Linked DNA regions of Oryzias latipes. The protein of the gene in region 3 purifies or fractionates together with the protein of the main gene of each other region. This does not show direct contact. Links are inferred from orthologs where the notes say so. Each region holds a gene or a part of one and is shown on either strand. Other genes may lie near its edges.

What was found.
Region 1: the proteins of ap3s1 (region 3) and ap3b1 fractionate together in Homo sapiens (co-fractionation; 5 studies listed by BioGRID and IntAct, counting the BioPlex papers as one, with this or other methods). This does not show direct contact. The link is inferred for Oryzias latipes from reciprocal best matches to the Homo sapiens genes AP3S1 and AP3B1.
Region 2: the proteins of ap3s1 (region 3) and AP-3 complex subunit mu-1 purify together in Homo sapiens (co-immunoprecipitation; 4 studies listed by BioGRID and IntAct, counting the BioPlex papers as one, with this or other methods). This does not show direct contact. The link is inferred for Oryzias latipes from reciprocal best matches to the Homo sapiens genes AP3S1 and AP3M1.

Annotation. Positions count from the first base shown.
Region 1 is NC_019870.2:3,664,906-3,669,198, reverse strand, and holds the start of ap3b1 (AP-3 complex subunit beta-1), read left to right. Parts: upstream 1-1,466; 5' UTR 1,467-1,793; coding exon 1,794-1,957; intron 1,958-4,018; coding exon 4,019-4,094; intron 4,095-4,293. UniProt on the Homo sapiens protein: Subunit of non-clathrin- and clathrin-associated adaptor protein complex 3 (AP-3) that plays a role in protein sorting in the late-Golgi/trans-Golgi network (TGN) and/or endosomes.
Region 2 is NC_019873.2:23,929,022-23,933,424, forward strand, and holds the start of AP-3 complex subunit mu-1, read right to left. Parts: upstream 2,801-4,403; 5' UTR 2,610-2,800; intron 2,398-2,609; 5' UTR 2,393-2,397; coding exon 2,120-2,392; intron 1,024-2,119; coding exon 852-1,023; intron 758-851; coding exon 620-757; intron 533-619; coding exon 447-532; intron 355-446; coding exon 221-354; intron 1-220. UniProt on the Homo sapiens protein: Part of the AP-3 complex, an adaptor-related complex which is not clathrin-associated. The complex is associated with the Golgi region as well as more peripheral structures.
Region 3 is NC_019867.2:7,077,781-7,081,393, reverse strand, and holds part of ap3s1 (AP-3 complex subunit sigma-1), read right to left. Parts: intron 1,894-3,613; coding exon 1,782-1,893; intron 1,706-1,781; coding exon 1,634-1,705; intron 1,275-1,633; coding exon 1,167-1,274; intron 1-1,166. UniProt on the Homo sapiens protein: Part of the AP-3 complex, an adaptor-related complex which is not clathrin-associated. The complex is associated with the Golgi region as well as more peripheral structures.

The DNA.
Region 1 (4,293 bases), on a different chromosome or scaffold from region 3:
TTCTGCACGTCTCCAACAGTCTCAGAGAGGAAGAAGCAAACACAGATTCCATATTCTCCTTTCCAGCATTACAGCCTAATTATTTGACCACAAGCACAAACAGCCAAACAGCATGGAAGTCACTTCTGCTCACAGCCTCCTCAGTCATGGTGAGGAACTTTACACCCACGATTCCCCACTGCTTGGAGAGCAGGTTTTGGAGCGAAAAACTCAGAAAATACGTGAACGAATCAAAATGTCGCTTTGGGGTTGTTTTTTGTGAGCATTTAACATTATAATACACTGAAATACTCAAAAAGTAGATTTTTCAGGATATAGACCCTTTAAAGACTTGCTCTGATGAAAATGATATTTTCAGCGTTTTTTTTCACATATTTTTGTGGCAAATATCTGATGATAGAGGACACATACAAAGAAAATTAAAATGAAATGAGAAATTTCTATATTTAAATCTATGTGAATCAGTAGAAGACAAAAAAAATGCTGTAAAAAGATTCTAAGTGTGACGTAGAAGTTAGTGCAGCGAGCTCTCTGCTCCATTCCGATGCATCCACTTGTAGCTGCGTAGATCCGTGCACTTCTTCGTTTTCCTCGTCTGAGCCGGAATCTGGACAGCTGGATGGCCCCGATATTGCACGCCATTTTTGTTGCAGCGCTTATGTTAGGATGGGTGTGTGAGGGGTTGTGAGCTATTGGTAGAGCGTTTAAACCAGTAGTCCCGTGATGAGCTCTGCTGCCCTGCAGAAACTACGTCCCAGTGACACAAGTGTTTGTTGATTTTGTCTAAATGCGGCATAATCATTCTCATGAAAACCACTGAGAATGCTTTGAAAATAGATCAAAGGATGATCCGAGTTGGACTTTAATTGATTTTCGAGGGTTTTTATAGTTTATCGACAAACTCACACCGATGCATAAGCTGCAATAATCTTATTTTTTCCACTCGTTACACAGTTGTTCTTTCTTTGAGTCAGATTGTTAGAAGAATGTGTCTGAATTCCCTCTTTCACATCAAGAATGTGACGAATTGCACAGTGAGTAGACTGTAGGGTCACGAGAACTGGACGGCATTAAAAACTGGATAAACTTTCCCCCAGAAGACACGTCTCCTCACAGAGCGGGAAGGAGAAACCTGTGCCGTGGAAATCGACCTGTGAGTCAGTGAGGGTTGGTGTGGGGGTCAAACAAACCCTCCAGAGGAAGTGGAAGGAGGCAGGTTTTTCTGCTCCTGTTTCCTTACATTATTCCCACTACCTTTTATCTCCTGATGGAGGCCTGTCCTGCCCGCCTCTTCAGCCAAACCAGGCTTGGTATGCGCTTAGTGATTGCGCAGAGGTGGTGATGAAAAGTGGCTCCATGTTTACCCACCGGAGGAGATAAGGGCCTCCTTTTTCCCCTGGAGGGAAGTGACCACAGTCACATGTCCAGGCAGGGAGGGAGGAAGGGAGGGACGCAGGTAAGGAAGCCGGATCTCCAGAGCAGGAGGAACATCTGAATGAGCGTAGTCCAGCTGAGAGAAGGAGGTGTTGCCCTCGGGGATCAGGATGACTTGCTGTTTGTGAGTTGACAGGGTATCTTGTGACTTTTTTTTTTTTTTTTTTTTGGCAGAAGAGGAAGGGAGGAAGTGAATGACACAAATCACAGTGCAGCCTGTGCAGTTTTTGTCCTTAGTTCCCAGTTTTGAGCAGCTGTGATTGATTCGAGAAAGCGCTGGGGGAAGACGAGCTGAGCTTTCCATCCGTGGACTTCCAGCCAGCTCTTGCAGGAGAGTCGCTGCGGGGACGGCGGCTGGTATGGACCGCGGCTTCCCTTCTTTACGGTCTGAGGCGGCTGGAGCCGTCAGGACAATGCTGGCTTCTGCCGAGAGCTTACAGCTCACTCTGAAGCCTGAGCTCAGTCAGGAAGAGCAGGCCCTCACACACACCAACGGCAAACCAAAGGAGACGCACAAAGCCGGGTATTGCAGTATTTTCCTGAATGTACGAGTACTAACATCTATGCAAGCTTCTCTGCCAGAATCGTTTTCTGATAAATGAACCACGATATTGATGATTCTGGTGTGTTACTGTTTCCCTGGTGCCTTTTGGCTTAGACAGAACTGCCCTTGGGGTGGAAATGGGCTGAGAGTGAGCGAAAAATGATGCCACACAGGTGAAATGTCAAGGTCGTAGACCGATCGGTAAGGCTGTAGAGCAAAAATGTTCGTGTGCATTTTGTTTCTAAGGGGTGTGCTGCGGTAACGGGTCATAGAGAACATTTATATACCCCATAAGAGCTGCTATGGGGGAAATCGGCCGTTTGTTTGACCCCCACCAAACTTGTGCGCTGCACAAGTCGCCTGTTAGTGCTGTTCACGCAATAAGTGCGCGCTCTTTGTCCGCCTCCTCCAGTTTTGCCCATTTTTGGCTCGCAGACGGTCTCAGTCTAACCATAAGGGCAGCTGTGACTAAAACTTTTTAAATCACACCTGTATATGAAGCCACTTATTCTGCATCTTCGCCATGGCTGCTGTTTAGGACTCTACAGAGTCAATTCCATGGATGGGCAACCTGCGGCCCGTTATACTATTTAATTTATTAAATTATGCTGATAATCCTTATTAATGTTTTATTTTCCCTGCAATTCCCCATAGATGGTGGAGTACAAATATATTTACCTTTTGTTTTATCTGCAGGAAGTTGTGCTGCATCATGTAGTGTTGGCAGATTTGTTGTATTTCTGACGTTCACGTGTGTTTTTTGAGTCCGAAATGTAAATTCCAATGCCACACGAACGCAGCATTTCTCTAAGTTTGCATTTTTCTTTGAGGGACATCAACCCATTGGTGCATTTGAGACTAAAATGTGAACAAAAGCCACAAATTGTGTCTGTGTGTGTGTGGGGGGGGGCTATTAGCTATGTTTTTTAACATAGCTAATAATTTTCAATCAAAATTATTAGCTATGTTTTTTAACATAGCTAATAATTTTCAATCAAAATTACACCATGTTTTTGTCCAGATTCAATGTTTTTTTGTTTGGACACCCCTTGGAAAACTTTTTTCTAAAGACAGCCAGATTCGGGATACTTTGGGATACTTTGAGATACTTTTTATTTCCCCACATAGAACAGAAATGTCTTTAAATACATTTTTACCAAAATTACTTTCATATTTGAAAACAGGAAATAGAATAAAGAGAGAGTCTGGTTATTAAAGCCTTTTGTCAACATTAAATCTGGGTTCATATGAAGTGGTAAGCATTAGTCACTATTAAGTGCTCAATGTTCTGAATTTAAATCACGTAAAAAGCTAAATAACACAAATAGTTAACTTATTCAGAAGCACAAACCACTGCTTTCGATCATAGAATCAAATGAATCAGTTTGGCCCTTAAGGCTCTGAATGTCAAGTCGCCCCAGGTTTACAATAGTGTGGAGCGTAATTTAGCCAGAAGAAAGTGCCGGAGGGGCCCGCATATTATAGATCTTATGACAGGAGACTGTGGGCCGGTAGAAATTTGAACGAGGGCCGCATTTGGCCCCCGGGCCGGACTTTGGACATGCCCGTCAGGTGGATTACCTAAAAGCGCCACGCATCTGCTCCTGTCAAATTTTAGAACCCTTTAGTCAAAAAGTTCCCCCACCCCTGGTGGGCCTCGGAGAAACGAGGGGGTTGGAACACGGCCACTAAGGCCACCGTACACCTGGAGATGTGATGGTCACCTGTCATTTGAATGAAAAACTGTGATAACATAACTGAGAAATGTTATGCCTCAAACAAATATAGGTCTGGATGAAGTTGTCTGTGTCATAAAAATGTCATTCCGTGCTCTTGAGCAAAGCCATAAGCTGCTGTTGAAGGCATTCAGTGTCTCCTGAAGAACGAGCGCGATGTAATGCCTTAACAGAGGAGATGGTGAAGCTGTTGGGCAGGAACTCCCCGTTGCAGTCATTGTTCATTGTACCGTCCAGAGAACGGTCAAAACTGATGAGAATGTTGTCCAACCGGTTAAAACCAGAAGTGTTTGTCTGTCCTCAGGAATGAAGACCTGAAAGAGATGCTGGAGAGCAACAAGGAGTCCCTCAAACTGGAGGCCATGAAGAGGGTTGTTGGGGTGAGTGCATCATGGGAGGAAACTGATGGAACAAATGCACTGGAGCCCTGGAATGTCCTGGAATGCATGGAGACAACATTTTTTCTACATTAGAAGTCCCTGAACTCTTAATCCCTAAAACAGTTTGTGATTTGTCTTCTAAACATTTCATTAAACACTGCAAAAACTGATTTTCAACAGCAACACAATCTTTAAGAAA
Region 2 (4,403 bases), on a different chromosome or scaffold from region 3:
CAGAGTTATGCCAAAATTTAATTGCAACAACCTCCAATTTAAACTATGCTTTAAGAGGCTAAACTGTATATTGAAAGTAATTTTCTTTGTGGTTGAAAACTTTTATCCAGCTCTGAATTTTTATAACCTGAGGATAGGATGACATCTTCATATATGCAGTCCTCCTCATAATCCATAGCCAGCCCTAGTCACCCCATTGCTCTCCCCATGAATCACTTACTTCTGAGAGCTGACTTGATATGACATGAGAGTGAAGTTTCCATCTGGAGGGATGAAAGACAAAACCCGTTCCGACTCCCAGCGTTTGAACCTCACGCAGGGATGAAAGCTCACATCATCCAGGAGACGAGGATTCTGTCAATAATACATCAATAATGAGCAAAATTTAGACTTGAACAAAAGTGCACAGATGATCTAAATACAGATATGGGGGGAAATGAGCCCACCATGAAGGACAAAGTGAGATCCGGCATCCCGGTAAGCCTCACACAAGCTTCAATGACCCCCTGGATCTCTGCAAATACTGTTGTCCCTGTTCAGTAAACAAAGTCACCGGTATTACTGTGCATTTAACTGCATTTCCCACCAACTGCTTTATTCTTCTCTTCTTTTCAAGTACCTGATTTATCGAGAATTGCATCAATTTCTTCGATCACATCAAAATATGCCTCATTGTTTGTGTACTTGACACCAGCCCTTCTCCATGGAACATTAGACAGCTGACCTGTTGGCAAAGTGTTTCCAACATTGCTACCTCCTGGAAAAAACAAATGAAATGTAATGTTAACGCTGCCCTTCAGTGTGACTTAAAGAGCCAGAAGTTCACAATGTTCCTTGTGACGTTTGTTTACCTGTTAGTGTATTGACGACTGACCGCAGAATGTTGGGAGGCTTTATCATCTCCTTGAGGACATTGGACTCGGTGGCGAGCGGAAATCCGTTGTCGAGCATCTCCTCCAATAGCTCGTAAACAATCACTACATTATCCTTGATTACAGTTTCTGAACATTCTCCAAAGTAATCCTGCAAAAAAAAAAAAAAAATGTTACTGAAAGGACAACAGTGGCTGTCCCTTTGAGCAGCGTCAGCAGACCAATATGGGCAATAACGTAAGTTCTGTGTTCTATTAGAAAGAGTGTAGCACAATTGAGAGTGCTGTACTTCTAAGCACTTGAAGAGCCTTTTGATATTACTTTGGATCGCAGATTTAATAAAATCCCTTTAATTTGCATTAAAGCACACAAAACTATCAATTTAATATTTTCAAAGATATTTTTTGTGTTTTTCCTTTTCTGCTTTGTCACCATACCTGCATGTACACATGGTACATTTACTATTAACTGAAATCTGACAATTCTTCCTTTTTTTAACATGAAACCCATTCAGCAACATTTCTTACAGTGCCCCATGACAATTTCCGTCATAAACACAGTTTAGTTTAGACAAAATAAAACATAAGTCACAAAGTAAAATATCTTTATCGTGTATTAACAAATCCTTCCATAGCCATTTAGCCTGCATGGGGTATATAATGGGATTTTATTAAAAAGACGTATGATATATGAGTCAACACTCTCCAAGCTCTTTTAAGTAATCTTATTTATGGTTTTATACAACGTCTTTAACGCTTCCAAGAATAAAATCATTTTAACCCTAACCAACATCAGGCACAGCACTTTGCATTACCAGTCCCCAATTTGGAGGTACTGGTTTGGCCACTTTATTAGGTTTATAATTGGTGTATTCACTTGTATTTTAATTATTTTGTATGTCTTGTGTTTCTTTTTAATGGTGTTGACATTTACACTTCGAGTCTGAAATAAAAATACTTTTTTATTGGTTTAAATGATAATTCCAAAGACGATCCCTGGTTTAAGTCAGCACAAAATACTAACTGCAGTCAAGGTTAAGGTTGCTGCTGAAATTCTTATATTTGGCCAAACTAATGCCTCAAAGAATGTCTTATAAAGGACTTTTTAGTTATATCTTTAATATATATTATATACTTACATGAAAGTGCAGCAAGAAGGAAACTTATTCCTAGAGCTTGACTAGAAGCACTTAAGATCTGGCACACACTTATCACAAAGAAGACATTCAGGTAAGAAATCAATACTACCAAGAATGTATCTCCAACTCTGTGCAGGAACTCGATGACAAAAAGTGGAGGCACTTCAGTCTGGATGGCAGACAGGAAGAAGATCTTGTCCCTGTATATACTGATGAGATAGTGGTGTGGGGTCTGCAGGACAGGGGCCACATTTTCTGGGTCTACTGCTTTTTCCTTAGCTTCGAAAAAGTAATCACAAACACTCCGGCTGATAACACTCTTCCAGTGTTTCTCCAGGAAAATGTCTCCTGAGTGGTTAATCAGGAACAGACTGTCGATCATCTCAGCTGCAGAAGGAAACGTTGTTGTTTGAGTTGGTTCTCTTAGACCAGATGGCACACGATAACTACACAATGTCGGTCACATGATTCAAATAACTTAAACTAAACAGTTTGTAAAAAATAAAAAAAATGAAAAGACTTTTGAAATATTATCTGAAAAGTTAAAAGTTTATTGTGCTGAGTGAGATAACAGAAAGAAAAATATGAATCATACTTACCAACTTATCGTTAATCCTGTCAGAGGAAGACCAACATGTAAAGTGCGAAATATTTTTACAGCTTTTACAAAGTTTTAGCTGTAGATCACTTGCTTTAAAAAAAGAAAAAACTCGATTCAACTACAGGGAAGAATACTCAGTTGGTGCCAATATGGAAGTATATCTCATAGGCATCTCAGGGGACGCCTACAGCTATGTGCACACGTAAGCAGAAAGAACTGAATTGTGCTACTAGACTAATAGTTGAAAAACGGGTATATTTACGCTATTGAAGTGGCATTCACGATAATCTAATAAAGTGTAATATTCTTCCCCTCCATTTTTTTATTTAAAGTTAGTGGGTTTATTTTTAATCAGGCAAAATCAGAGGACAGCTGTTTTGCTCTCATTGTTGTCAGTCAGTGGGTTAAAAAAACCGGTGTATAGTTTTGCAGGCAACCTTTGACAACGATCTAAGCCGCGCATCAGACCATTCAGTTTTCGGTGTTCTTTAAAATAGCTAATCCATTGTTGTATGTCAGCATTATTGTGTGGAAAGGTTTTGTTAGAATATTACAAATTTTTAAAGAAAAACTATTTGGAAAACTCAATATGATTTTTTGTATTTTGATGGCATTTTAACGTGTACTGTTGTGAAACGTACGCATTTCCCCATGGTATAACACAATTAATGACAGTATTTGGAAGTTTCCGAAGTTTTATTCACCATTTTATTGTATGTATATGATTAGAAAAAGTAGCACCTATAACTACTACAGCTCCTCGTTAAACTGAGTTGGGCAGGAACCATACTGTCTATGGCAGCAACAACTTACCTACAAGTCACTACCCAGGGAAAACAACAAACTTCCTTGATACGACTGCATTTTCGAAAGATAATTGCAAAGACAAAAGGATTAATATGGGGGGGGGGTAGATTTTGTAAACAATGTGAAGAAACATTCATATATTTAATTTCGACCTATGATCACAAAAAATTAGTTTGGAAGTAATTGTCAGTATGATATAATGACTCAATTTTTTCTCGATTTCTTCCTGACATGGAAAAACAGATCCTGTATGGTTTTACTGATTATGAAAAGTTACTTCACAATTTTATTGGTTACATTTCCTGATTTTATTAACAAAATATTACATTCATTAAACTACATTTGGCTTTAAACCTCAAAATTCCTTTGAATTAATTGCTCAAATCAGACATTATATACACCCAGTACCTACAGAACAGCAGTTAAAACCTATCATCTGTCTCAGCTTTATAGATTAAATAGCTACTTTTATTTATGTTGTTTTTACATTTTTGAAGAAAAAAAAAGGTATCAAAGTTAGGAGGAGGAGGCAGGAGGAAGGGTTATGGTGAAAATTAGATGCAAGGGTCAAAGACTTGAATGCAGGTTTGGCCACATGCAACTGAGTTACAATCATTCAATCATTGGAAAATATCTAACTATAAAATGTGCAACGAGTATCAGACTATAGAAACGTTTATTATGAAATTGCAGGAAGTACACTGAACAAATACAAGGGCGTACAACTATTGAGGATGAAAATAAAATGGGAGACAAATGGCATATGGAGTAGTGATTGTAGTTATACATTTACTGTTGTTGTTGTTGTTGTTGTTGTTTTAGGTAAAAAAGGGTTATTAGAAAACTTTGAGATGGAGAAATTATGGGGAAGGAAAAAGGAAATATATCTTAAAACAGATGGATTTATACTACAAATATGATTAGACCCTCGACATTCACAGTCCGTACCACTAGGTGGCGAACATGCGCCTAAAATTTGTGAGCC
Region 3 (3,613 bases):
AACTCTACAGTTAGCACACACAGCTGAACAGCCTCTAAAAAATCTAATAATACAAACATTGACTTTAAGCTTAGAAAAAACAGTGTTTTTTGGACTATAAGTCACACTTTTAGGAGGAATTTATTTAACAAAATACGGAAACAAAATCGGACATTTCATCTTGAAAGGCAAATCATAATAATGGAAGAGATAACAAATAATAGAATGAATATGTGCACGCTTCACTACCATAACCGTATTTAGCTCCATAAAACATAGGAGGAGTTGAATAAGTTTCTAGTATATTATCGCAGTAAATGAACAATTAATAAGATAACCGCAGCATGACAACAAGTCAGCTAAACCCTTTATATCACTTTAAATCCCTAAATCCTTTAAAGTCTTCATCTGTCAAGCTCGGAGTAAGACTGAGCGGCGTTTCTTCTGTGTTACGGTCAGTAGTAAATACTGACACACTTGCCTACAGTTCCCTCTAGCGGTTGATTTATAAAAAATCAAATGTAACTATTCTCCGAAAAATACGGTACACATTTTGTAAAGGGTCGTTTCTCAACAGGAAATAAAGTATTTGCAAAATGAATGTGCAGACATTACACAACGTGCTTGGACATATTTTTGACTCAGTTTATCGATCAGAGGCTCTAATCCACACTGAGCGTAGAAAAAGAAAACCATCATTTAGTGAAATTGTCTCTGGCTGTCTGTCTTTCCAATAGAGAAATGAAAGCGGATTTCTGACCGAAGCTGCATGGAAAACAAACAAATGTACTTGCAGAGCACAGATATCTGAGCGAAGACTTTGAAAATATCGGCTCAAGAAAAGAAAATCTAAATCTCCAAACTTTCCCCTCAACGTGATGAGTATGTAGCTGAATGTCATTCAATGGTAAGGAGGATTTAATGGTCACTGATTCTGGAGGTGAATTGATCTGTTTTTGTATATTTGGGTTAGAGTATAGGATCTACTGAGGTTTGAGCTGCGTTGAGAGCATAGAAGCAGTCAAAGAAGAGGCCAGAAAAGAGCACAAACACTTGAGAGAAGGTGGGGAGCATCCACAGAGTGACCAAGAGTAGCATGCAGAGTGCAGCGTACACACATGCCTGCATACTGTGCAACATTCCTCAGGGAGGCCGAGGAAAGAACAAAGTGACAGATAACCTCATACCTCAGCTTTCTCCATCTTGTTCTGGGCGTCCACCTGTGTGATGATTTCGTTCATGTTGGTCTCTAAGACCATTCCACCCATCACCATTTCAGCAAGAATATTGTGGACCTGCAGAAATAAACCCAAATTACAAATCATCAATCATTTAAAGTTTCTACAAGACTTCCCTGAGTTTCAGCTCGTTTCAAACAACACATTTTTTTTCAAACTTCCTTAATAAAATGAAAACAGGCTAAACTTCATTTTGGTTTAAAGGTTTCTCTATTTGTGGAGGCTCTAAAGCAGGTATGGTATTTATGGTTGACTCAAAAGTTCCTGCAGTTGCGAAACAGAAAGTCATCAGATAATAACAGGCAATAATAACTACGGGAAATTATTACAAAGAAAAAGGGTCAAAGGGATTGGTAGGCTGAAACAAACAGTCTAATAAACGTGTTACATCACAGAGAGGTGAAAGATTTTCCTACCTTGTCTACATGGAAAATTAAGTCAAGTTCACAGACGTTTTCAAAGCATTTGTCCAACGTTTCTACAAATACCTGACAAACAAAGGGAACAGTTAGAGAGAAGATAACTAAAGAGTATACATTCTTCTGAAAGTCCGATTTATTTTACCTGGATTAAGTCTAAAATGCCTAATTCGCTCTCTGAAGAGTCGACACAAAACACAAAGTACAGCGTGGCATAGTGTCTATAGATCAGCTTGTAGTCCGAACCCCCGATCAGCCTGGAACACAGAAAGAACACGATGACAGCGAAGGGAAAATATCTAGCAAACATTCTTGACGGCACATTTCCTGAAACTCTCTTCAGGTTTTATCACCATCTCTTGGAAAAGAGCATAAAATAGGTAATATTCTTTAAAACAAGCAGAAAAAAAAAACACTCTTATCAAAAGCCCAACCTAGTATAATAAGGTACCGTAAACATGTTACGACAGAATTTTGAGGGAGCAAAAAAAAACAGGATGTTTTCAGTCAGGCGTATAAAGATTGCCCACAATATATCCGAATAGCTGGAGATAAGACGGGAAGAGATAAAGCTTGTAACTGGGTTGGACAAGAGCTCCTCAACTGTTTTCTTCTCTCACAAAAAGACTTGTAACTTTTGAGAACTCACTAAAGAGAAAATCCAGTGTTTTTTGGAGTATTTGTTTGCTAAACCTATGTTTTTTTATTTATTATTAAGTGTTTATATAATTTGTCTGAAGTTTTTCATTTTATTATAAAGAGAGAGCAAGAAAAGAAAAAAGCTTTTAAGCCAACAAAGCAAAGCGTTGCAACTCAGATTCTTGTAGACCCACTCTGATCATCTTTTAATCTGTTGTTAAAGCGTTCCCAGTGAGAGTGGTCTTTTCATTATGATTATGCCGTTTTCTAGGACATAGTTTCAGCAGAGCGGCAGGAGTTCACCCCAACCTAACATGATCGGTGCAACAACAAAGGGAGAGAAGTATTGGAGATGTCCAGTTCTGAGCCAGATAACAGCTCAGACGAGGAAAACAAAGATGTACATGGATCTATTCATCTACAAGAGGATGCATCAGAATGAAGTGGAGCAGTCGTATTTTCTACATCACAACTACAGTGTTCCTCCGCCAATTCGGGTTTCAATATTCGCTGTTTCACGTGTTCGCAGATTCCTTTTTTTTTTTTTTTAATCACGTGACTCCTCTGGTTCGTCACAAAAGCTCAGACAACTCAAGATGCTTGTATGAGACTTGTGCTGCGGGAATTTCTAAGGAGGGGAGCGGGGAGATGAAGAGCCAGCTGGCCAGTCGGCCTCCCCCCGGCTGCGGAAGAATATTTCCCAGCGAGCAACAGCTGGTTCCAGAATCGCTATAACCAAAGTTTGTGCCCCAATGGCATCAGCTGACTCAAAAGCAGCTTGAAAATATCCTAATACGCTGAGGAAGTATAATTATCATCTGGATGAATGAATGATGGATGAAACCAACCTCTTCTGGAAGAAGATGCCCTTTGGCACTTAAGGAAGTACGGGCTCCTGCTTTCTAGGCATAGAGAAACAGACTGGCACTCCTAATGTGCATTATAAAGTACGCTACAGTACAGTCTATTACTCTGAATGACTAAAAAAACCATGTTGAGCAACGTTCTTTAATAAATGTTTCACAGAGTATCAGAAATGTTTCAGAAGGGTTTTTGATGAGTTAAGATTGCAGCATATTGGCGGAAGTCTCTGGTCCCTAACCTCCACGAATACGCGGAGAAAACTGTTCAATCTTTTTCAAACAGCATCTTTTTCATCTGCTCCCGATTCACAGCAATTTGAATTAACAAATACTCAAAGATACAATTTTACGCCCAATGATCTTAATATATGTCCATCATTAGAAAAATGCTACAATAACATTTAAAACACCATAAAAAAATCCTCAGAGTGGGTCTTTAACTTTTTTTTTAAAACAGCATTTTGAAGATTATGTT